Linked DNA regions of Rattus norvegicus. The protein of the gene in region 2 interacts with the protein of the main gene of each other region in a biochemical or structural test. Links are inferred from orthologs where the notes say so. Each region holds a gene or a part of one and is shown on either strand. Other genes may lie near its edges.

Evidence for each region.
Region 1: of the proteins of Fbxo7 (region 2) and Uxt, one has a biochemical effect on the other in vitro, tested with the Homo sapiens proteins (2 studies listed by BioGRID). The link is inferred for Rattus norvegicus from reciprocal best matches to the Homo sapiens genes FBXO7 and UXT.

What each region holds. Positions count from the first base shown.
Region 1 is NC_086039.1:3,689,307-3,693,309, reverse strand, and holds the end of Uxt (protein UXT), read right to left. Parts: intron 1,720-4,003; coding exon 1,656-1,719; intron 1,467-1,655; coding exon 1,413-1,466; 3' UTR 1,366-1,412; downstream 1-1,365. UniProt on the Homo sapiens protein: Involved in gene transcription regulation. Acts in concert with the corepressor URI1 to regulate androgen receptor AR-mediated transcription. Together with URI1, associates with chromatin to the NKX3-1 promoter region.
Region 2 is NC_086025.1:19,714,555-19,719,516, reverse strand, and holds part of Fbxo7 (F-box only protein 7), read left to right. Parts: intron 1-1,177; coding exon 1,178-1,405; intron 1,406-3,328; coding exon 3,329-3,470; intron 3,471-4,962. UniProt on the Homo sapiens protein: Substrate recognition component of a SCF (SKP1-CUL1-F-box protein) E3 ubiquitin-protein ligase complex which mediates the ubiquitination and subsequent proteasomal degradation of target proteins and plays a role in several biological processes such as cell cycle, cell proliferation, or maintenance of chromosome stability.

The DNA of each region.
Region 1 (4,003 bases), on a different chromosome or scaffold from region 2:
GTTTCCCCAGCGCTCACGTGGGCCCTCGTGGGAGGAGCCAAGCCTTCTGCTGCTCGTTGATTGGATAAAATGCCAAGACTCCAAGCGCAGCTTCAGGGCCTGGTGGCGGTGGTATTGGAATCCTAACAGAGCTATGACATGATAGGCTTAAAGGGGATTGATGGACTGCCGGGTAGCCGACTGAATCCGTAGGTGTTGGGCGGCGCTAGTGCTTCATGCCGATTGGGTCTAAGACTGGTTAGCCAAGTGCCAAGGTTGGGGCGGGGCCGAGGGAGGTCGCCCAGTTCACACCGATTGGCTTAAATGAGAATTGATGGCAGACAGACAGCCCCAGAGGATGGAGGGGTGGTTGGATGGGCTCTGTTTTCAGCTGATTGGTGGAAACTCCCAGACAGCGGCCAAAACATAAAAGTAGGTGGTGCTGCTCATCAAACGGTTCAGCGGAAACAGGACTTATTTAGAAAGGGGAATAGCAGCAGGGTAGGGCTATGTAGGCGGGTAGGGTAAAGCTATGGTAATTAGCTAGGCAAGACGAATTTAGAATCCAGCAGAGGGAGGAGGCAGGAGCGGCTGCCAGATATACAGAGGAGTTGAGAGGTGGAAATTAACTGTCTACAAGGGCAGAGGCAAGCTGCAGTCAGTTATACAGATGGAATTTGGTTCTTAGTTATCTAAGACTGGACTAAAACCTAGGCTGTAGGGGCTGTAGCAGGGAGGGCAGGATCTGTCTACGGGTGGAAACTAGAACTATTTAGAACTATTGGAACCACTATTTAGGGACCAAATTAAGGGTTGGGTGGTAATGATATTTAGGGTACCTGGATGACCACTGGATTGTGAAACCATAATAACCCTTAGGATATGAAGTAAAAAGCTGAGGGCCATGGAAACAAATCACTTTGAACTGGAACCTTAAAAATTTGTTTCAAGGGTCTCATGTAGCCCAGGATTGCCTTAAACTTAAAAATCCTTCTGCCTCTATCTTTTGAGTGACCTGGTCACAGGTGTGCCACACATCCAGCTTGTGTACACAGAACTGGGGACTGAATTTAAGGTTTCATGTGTGATATGCAAGCACTCTACCAATTGAATCTCATCTTCAGCTCACCAATCAGTCCATTCTTTATGGTAATACAAAGGGCACCAATACAAATATCTAGGAAAAGGAATTAAAGTGTGAGGAGCAGTGTCAAGGTTCGAAAGGTGACAAAAGAGGGTAAAGCATAAAGTCTGGAGGAAAATACAAGATGTTCTAAAGGCAAGAATGTTTTAGAGGTTCAACAGAAAGGATGGGTCTTCCAGTAATTTTGGTCTCTGGAGCACTTAGTCAATTAGTGAAAATTAGGGGAAAAAAGGGCTATGTGATTCCAAGGCATTCAGGCTGTTTAATATTGGAGGCTGGGAAGATGCAGTCAATGGGGAGATGGCTCTGGGAAATTCTGCAGGCCTTGTAGTTCTCTAAGTCCCTGTAAAAGAGGACAAAGTATACTGAACAGAGGCTGGGTCTAGGTCTTGTCCCAGGTTTGCTCTGATTTTCACTCCTTTGGTTTTTAATTTAGAAGGAAAGATGACCCCTCCCTTCTTTGGATTTCTCCTGTCTTCAGGTTATCACCCTAAATATATTTGAAGGGTCGAGTGGAGTGAGCTGCTCTCACCTCTAGCATCATGTGGATATTGGCCTTGATATTCATGGAGTCCTTGGTGAGGCTGTCGCTGAGCCTAGAAAAAAAAAGGAACAAGAAAGGGCAAAATGGGCCCCACTTAAGGCTGTGAGGATGACTCTTCCTCATCACTTCAAGAAACGCTTGTATCCTGGATGACCTGCCCTGATCCTATGCAGAGATGTCTGGCTACCTCTTGGAATTTCCCCATTTAAAGATCAAGGGTGATAGGGCCAACTTGATTTCAATATCCAGGATCCACATAGTGGAGGAGAGAACTGATTTTAAACCTTCACATGTACTCAGAAAAAAATGTAGTAACAATTGTTAAAAAATGATTATGGGAGGGGTTTGGGATTTAGCTCAGTGGTAGAGCGCTTGCCTAGCAAGCGCAAGGCCCTGGGTTCGGTCCTCAGCTCCAAAAAAAAAAAAAAAAAAGATTATGGGGATGAAGGAAGTGGGGGTATGGGTCTATGAATACGATCAAATTATGTGATATACTTGAAAGAAACTCTTTATGAAACCCATCACAATGACTATATGATGATAAGAAGGGAAGATTATTGAATGCCTTCTGTATGCCAGGCAACTTAAAATAGGGAAATAGCAGAAACAGCAGTAAATGAAACTAAATTCTTGGTTTCCTGGAGCTCCTTTAAAAAACTTTATTTTTAGTTTTTAATTATCTGTGTTATATGTGTGGGAAATATACCATGAATGTAGATTTCCACAGATGTTAGATGATATGAGATTCCTTGAGCTGTAGATACAGGTGGTTGTGAGCTACCTGACATGGGTGCTGGGAACCGAACTCAGTTACTCTGGACAGCAGTATGTACACTTAAGCACTAAGCCATTTACTAAGAGACAAAGTATACAAACACAATTATGATGTGTTAAGTATAAGGAAATAAATAGTATAAGGAACTAAATACTAAAGAAGAGGTAGAAAGAGGAGGCTTCAGTTTCGAAGATTGTTCAGGTTTGGCTTCACTGAGAGCTTTCCTTTTGAGACTATATAGTCCAGTCTGGTTTCCAATTCAAGATCCTCCTGCCCAGACTGCTGAGATTACAGATGTGTAACTCTCCCACCTAGTGGGGGTGATATGGAAGATAAGTGTTCCACCACAAATAAGAACCAATACAAAAGTGCTGAGGTAGGAGCATGCTTGGTATGGTGCAGGCACAGCCAAGAAGCCATTGTGGCTAAAGAAAAAGAGGAGGATTGAAGGAGCTGAAGTCAAGCGAAGGAGGCAGAAGGTGGAAAGTCTACAGGACCATGGCAAAGACCTTAGCTTTTACTTTAAATCAGGTGCTAACGAGAAGGTTAACAGTGGAGGACAAATGCAAATTGATTTGAGAAATAAACTTATTAGGGTTTAAAAGAATCCACCTGGCTGTTGGGCAATGCACTTACAGACAGGACAAGGTATTTTGAAGGTGGTACCAGAAAGGACTCTAGGAAAAGGCTGAAAAACACCTGGGCAAACGGAGGTGCCTGAAACCACCCTAGTCCTGGACTGTTGAGTTACATAAATCAGTCAACTCCTTCTGTCCAAGTCTGCTTGAATCAAGTCTCATCTAAGAGAGTCCTTATGTATACAATCAGTGAAAATGAATACAGTGGACCAAGGAAGAACTGTCTGAAGAATAAGATAGAACTGAAGATGAAGTGAGAGTTAAGCAGTGAAAAGGTCTTTTGCACAGAAAGACCAAGAGGCACAAAAGGGCTTTGTGAGAAGCGGTCAGTGTTAGACATTAAGTTAACCATTAAGAAAGCTTGTATAAAGCAGTATTACAGAGCAATAGTGATAAAAACTGCATGGTATTGGTACAGAGACAGACAGATAGACCAATGGAATAGAATTGAAGACCCAGAAATGAACCCACACACCTATGGTCACTTGATTTTTGACAAAGGAGCTAAAACCATCCAATGGAAAAAAGATAGCATTTTCAGCAAATGGTGCTGGTTCAACTGGAGGGCAACATGTAGAAGAATGCAGATCGATCCATCCTTATCACCCTGTACAAAGCTTAAGTCCAAGTGGATCAAGGACCTCCACATCAAACCAGACACACTCAAACTAATAGAAGAAAAACTAGGGAAGCATCTGGAACACATGGGCACTGGAAAAAATTTCCTGAACAAAACACCAATGGCTTATGCTCTAAGATCAAGAATCGACAAATGGGATCTCATAAAACTGCAAAGCTTCTGTAAGGCAAAGGACACTGTGGTTAGGACAAAACGGCAACCAACAGATTGGGAAAAGTTCTTTACCAATCCTATAACAGATAGAGGCCTTATATCCAAAATATACAAAGAACTCAAGAAGTTA
Region 2 (4,962 bases):
TGTATAAACTGGTTATCTTGACTAGTCATTTATTTGAGTTAAAGTTATATAGTTGATAAAAGCCAGTGTCCTCTTCTCTGCTTCAGTTATGAGAGACTACTTGACTACCTGGTAAAGAAAACCAGGAAACTGTAGCATGCCATCCTTCAGCAGTTGGTCACAAGCCTTTCCTGAATGTGTACCATGTGGCAGGTACTGTGTTCTTGTTGCAAAATGGACAACTTGTGTAGTCTTGTGCTTTACACAAACTTGCAGTCATGGAAAGATGCAGATGTGTGAACTGAAAAATAGCAATGCAGTATGGTAAGGTGCAGTATAATGGCTGTGGTGGCATCCCTTGGGGCTGTTGAAGAAGTGGGAATTCTGCAGTGGCAGGAAAGGGCTGGGAGAAGGTGTGCAGATGCCGAGCCAAGGAATGGGATGATGATGGCCTTATATTCCTTGTTTTCTGAACTTATTTTCTAGGCTTGCACTCTACCATCTGTTTCTGAAGAACTTGTTTTATGAATTTGTAGTAAGTGTAACAAAGATGCTAAGTATGAGGAAGAGGGCAAATGCATTTTGGTTAAGTGAACACATGACTCCTGTTTGTAGAATTCTCAGAGCTTTTATAAAGTTACTACCAGATCCTGTGACTGTAGAGGGTTAGGCTAGGCATAGCATGTAGTGTTTCTCTGCTTGACTCTGTACCAACATTTTCTCTAAGAACATCCAGGGACACAGTCTTAAGGTACGTTTGTGGAAATCCTGAGTTTTAAAGTGGGATAAGATGTGATTGGATTCTTAATTTCTGGGGAAACTGGAAGGAGTGCATGGTGTGTCTGAGACAAGAGGGGAGGCAGGCACCCTGAGGAGCTGTTGTTCCTGGAGGTCAGCAGAAGCGTGATGGAGTCTGAGGTAGAAGTGGCACAGGAGGCACAGCTTTAGAGACTCAGGCACGGTAGTGCTGGAGCTGTGAGCACAACGTTTAAGGCGCTTACCGAGGAGCTAGCTCCGTGTTTCTAGCATGGGGCCGTGGGACTCAGGATGGAGGTGTAGGTCACAGTCTCACTTGTTTATAAGCGCTTTCTACTCTGAACCTCTGGCTGGCTTTTGTTTTGAGCACCCATCTCTGCTCAGTACAGGGTATAAAATGTCCTGTGTAAGTTAACGGATCTGTTCTTGTCATCCTGTGCAGGAAGGACCTAGTCACAGTGCTGAAGCTGTGTCAATTCAGGACGCCATGAGTGTGGAAGAGGCTTCTGGTTTCCATCCACTGGAGCCAATGCTCTGCAGTGAAACAGAGGACGGGCAGGTGCCACATTCCCTAGAGGCCCTGTACCAGTCAGCCGGCTGCTCCACCGTCAGTGATGCCTTGATAGTGCTGGTGCATCTCCTTATGCTTGAGTCGGGCTACATACCTCAGGTAAGTGCCACCCGAACCTCTTAGGGCGTGGGGTGGTGTGAATACACTTGGCCCAGGGAGTGGCACTATTAGGAGGTACGACCTTGTTGGAGGAAGTGTGTCAAGGTGGGGTGGGCTGGGAGACCCTCCTCCTAGCTGCCTGAGGATGGTCAGTCTGTTCCTGGCTTCCTTCAGGTGAAGATGTAGAACTCTCAGCTCCTCCTGCACCAGGCCTGCCTAGACACTGCCATGCTCCTGCCTTGATGATAATGGACTGAACCTCTGAACCTATAAGCCAGCCCAAATTAAATGCTATCCTATAAGAGTTGCCTTGGTCATAGTGTCTGTTTAGAGCAGTAAAACCCTAACTAAAACATGAGACCTCACTAGGCACCTCAGTCACTAGGGCATTGTGGTGGTCCATCTTTCTTTACTAAATGTGATTGGTTCTTGAATATCAAATGTCAGAAATAGTAAGGGGTTGTCACAGGTACTCAGTAAATGCCCTTTGCAGCTTTCCTTCTTTTCCCATCATTTCCCTTGTTAGCATTTAGTATTACAGAGAGAATGGCAACTGGTCCAAAAAAAAAAGGACACAAGGCCTGTGTGCATACGGTCATGTTGAGAAGGCCTGTGTGCATACGGTCATGTTGAGAAGGCGTGTGTGCATATGGTCATGTTGAGAAGGCGTGTGTGCATACGGTCATGTTGAGAAGGCGTGTGTGCATACGGTCATGTTGAGAAGGCCTGTGTGCATACCGTCATGTTGAGAAGGCCTGTGTGCATATGGTCATGTTGAAATAAAGTGGCGGCAGTGGGGACGCGTCTGACCAGATGCTGGCTGACCAAGGTCTCACGCTCACGGCCTTGTGCTGTGGTTGCTTTCCTTCATTAACTTCATTCAGCATGGCTTCGTGCAGCATCTGCTGATGCAGTGAGGTGATTTCCTTCCTGCTCTTAGCTCTCTGTTTCCAGTTCCTGATAGTCTGAGAATAGACAAGGGTTTAGATCATTTTAGTTTATTGTGTAAGTTCTAGGAGAGACATTTGCACATGCGGAGTGCCTGGGACTCTGAAAGAGCAGTTAGAGGAGAGCTGAGGAATACAGGGACCGCATTGGAGCACAGATTCTGACCTAGTAAGCTCAGGGTGGGGCTGAGCGTCTTGCGTACTCTGGCCTGTCCCCTGTACTGCTGGCCTGTACACATTCCTTGTGGCCATGGGATGGAGTACAGAGATGAGGAGTAGCCCAAGACCATTGTGCGCCTGTGCACACTGTACGCACAGGCGCACGTTTCTCAGAGTTCACAGATGAGCACAAAAGACCAGATAGATATAACATACTACAAATAACAGTGTAAATTGACAGAGCACTACAAATATGCAGTGACACAAATGTGAACAAAATGTTAGAAAATGACTTTTCTGGAAAAGGGCTGTATGAGGGAAATGCTGTTCTCCCTGCGGTCTTGAATAACGAACGATTTGTCTTTGCTAGGTAGAAAATGTGAGTCTTAGAAGAGAAAAATTAAGCCTTATTTCTATGATGTCATTGTATATTAAAACAAAAATTTTGATAGACAAATATTATAACCTATTATCCTCCTAGTAGCAATATTAATGATGTGCATATTCTGTTAAGGGGGCTATATGTATCTTTTAAAAAATGTGTATGATGTGTGTGTGTGGGGGCGTGTCATGCGACATAGCATGTGTGGCAGGCAGGCAGCAGAGTTCCGTGGACTTGGTTCTCTGCCTTCTTTCCTTTATGTGGGTTTCAAGGCTCCACCTTGGGTGATGGCTTCTGTGACAGACACTTTACCTGCTGAGTCATGTCAGCGGCTCAAGGGGGCTACATTGCACAGTAAGTTAGGGCTGTTACTGATTTTCAGGTTTTTCAGCACAATACCTTTCTTCATTATTATTCTTTCATCTCATTCCTCAGGGGACTGAAGCCAAAGCAGCATCCATGCCTGAGAAATGGAAGTCAAGTGGCGTATACAAGCTCCAGTACACACATCCTCTCTGTGAGGGCGGCTCTGCCGTGCTTACCTGTGTACCTTTGGGAAAGCTCATCATGATAAACGGTAATGGAGCAGAGCGTCATGCTGGCGCCTTGTGAATTAAGTACTTTATTCCTAACAGTCTGTAGCCACTCGAGTGGGTGCCGAGTCATTCACATCTTAATTACTGTATGCCTGAAGACTTAAAATTAGAGGATGTTGGTTTAGGACAGCACCCTTCACTTTTGGGGTAGCCTCCTTGTTCTCTTTTTAAATGTCTGTTATAGTTTTACTTTATGTTTTGAGTGTTTTACCTGCATTTGTGTCTGTGCATCATCTCATACATATGGTGCCTGTGGAAGCCAGAAAAGGTGTCAGATCCCTTGGAATTGGTGTTAAAGATGCTGCCAGCTTCCAGGTGTGTGCTGGGAATTGAACGAGGGTCCTCTGTAAGAGTAGCCAGTGCCTGTAACTTAACTGCAGAGCCACCTCTCCAGCCTCAGCTTTTTTGTGATGTGTCAATCTTTGATCCCTTTGTTCTGTGAGCTGTGGTAGTAGAAATGAGTGGGTTTTACTGTGGATGAACTATTGGAGTAGGTTTTTGTGCACATCTGTGAATGTCTCTTCTAATTACCTTCCTTAGCCTCTAACCTGTGGTGAGGAAGTCGGCATCTCTGAACTGCTGAGGTTTTGCAGCCATGGTATGCACAGTTTAGCTGCCCGTCCTCACGGAAGTCCTCTGAATGACCTCTCTGCTCTCCCCTTTCCTAGAGGGAAGCTGCACTGAGGTGGCAGTGTGTTTCTGGATCATGTTAGTCATGATGTCACACAGGTCCTTCCCAACCACCACTGCTTTCTGGAATGTTCTCCTGATCTCACATTAGGAGATCCATTTGGGTGACCAGGATCTTACATTTCAGTCTGATCTTTTTTTTTTTTTTTTAAATATATTTTTGAAATTGGGTCTGTATACCCTAAACTGAGCTCAAATTCTTTATGTAGCCGAAGCTCTGGGGTGGTGGGTGACTCCCACCTCACTGGGCTAACACTGTTTGGGTTTTGAGGTCATCCTTTTCAGATACTTAAGCTAGAAGAGAGTGCGGTAGATTGTGCTGTTTGTGGATTGTCTTGCTTTGCTGCCTTGGGTGAGGTTTGCACTGCTCCTTCAGCTGCTGTTCTGTTGAGATGACGTTTACTGAGGTCCAGTGTTACAGAACAGCCTTGTACTAAAATTTATTTTAAACGCTAACATTGCCTTTTTGCCTTTAGAATTAGAAGTTAATTCTTTGGTCCTCTCATGTAATTTTTTCGCTCATTTCCTTTTAATTGTTCAATTTTCTTAGCTGTTATAGGATTGAGCCTATGATTCTGCACGTTTGTCAGAATGTGGCTGACGGCTTGAGAGCCGAGTAGTGTCTGTTCGTTCTCACAGCTACTTTGCATAGCTTGCAGTTTGGCTTTTGTGCCCAGAGTAGCAGTGGTTTCTGTTTCTGTGTAGTCATCCCGATTTATCACATCACACCTGGGAAGATGAACATTCCCAAATGTTAATAACAAACGCGAGGTGGGGGGGGGT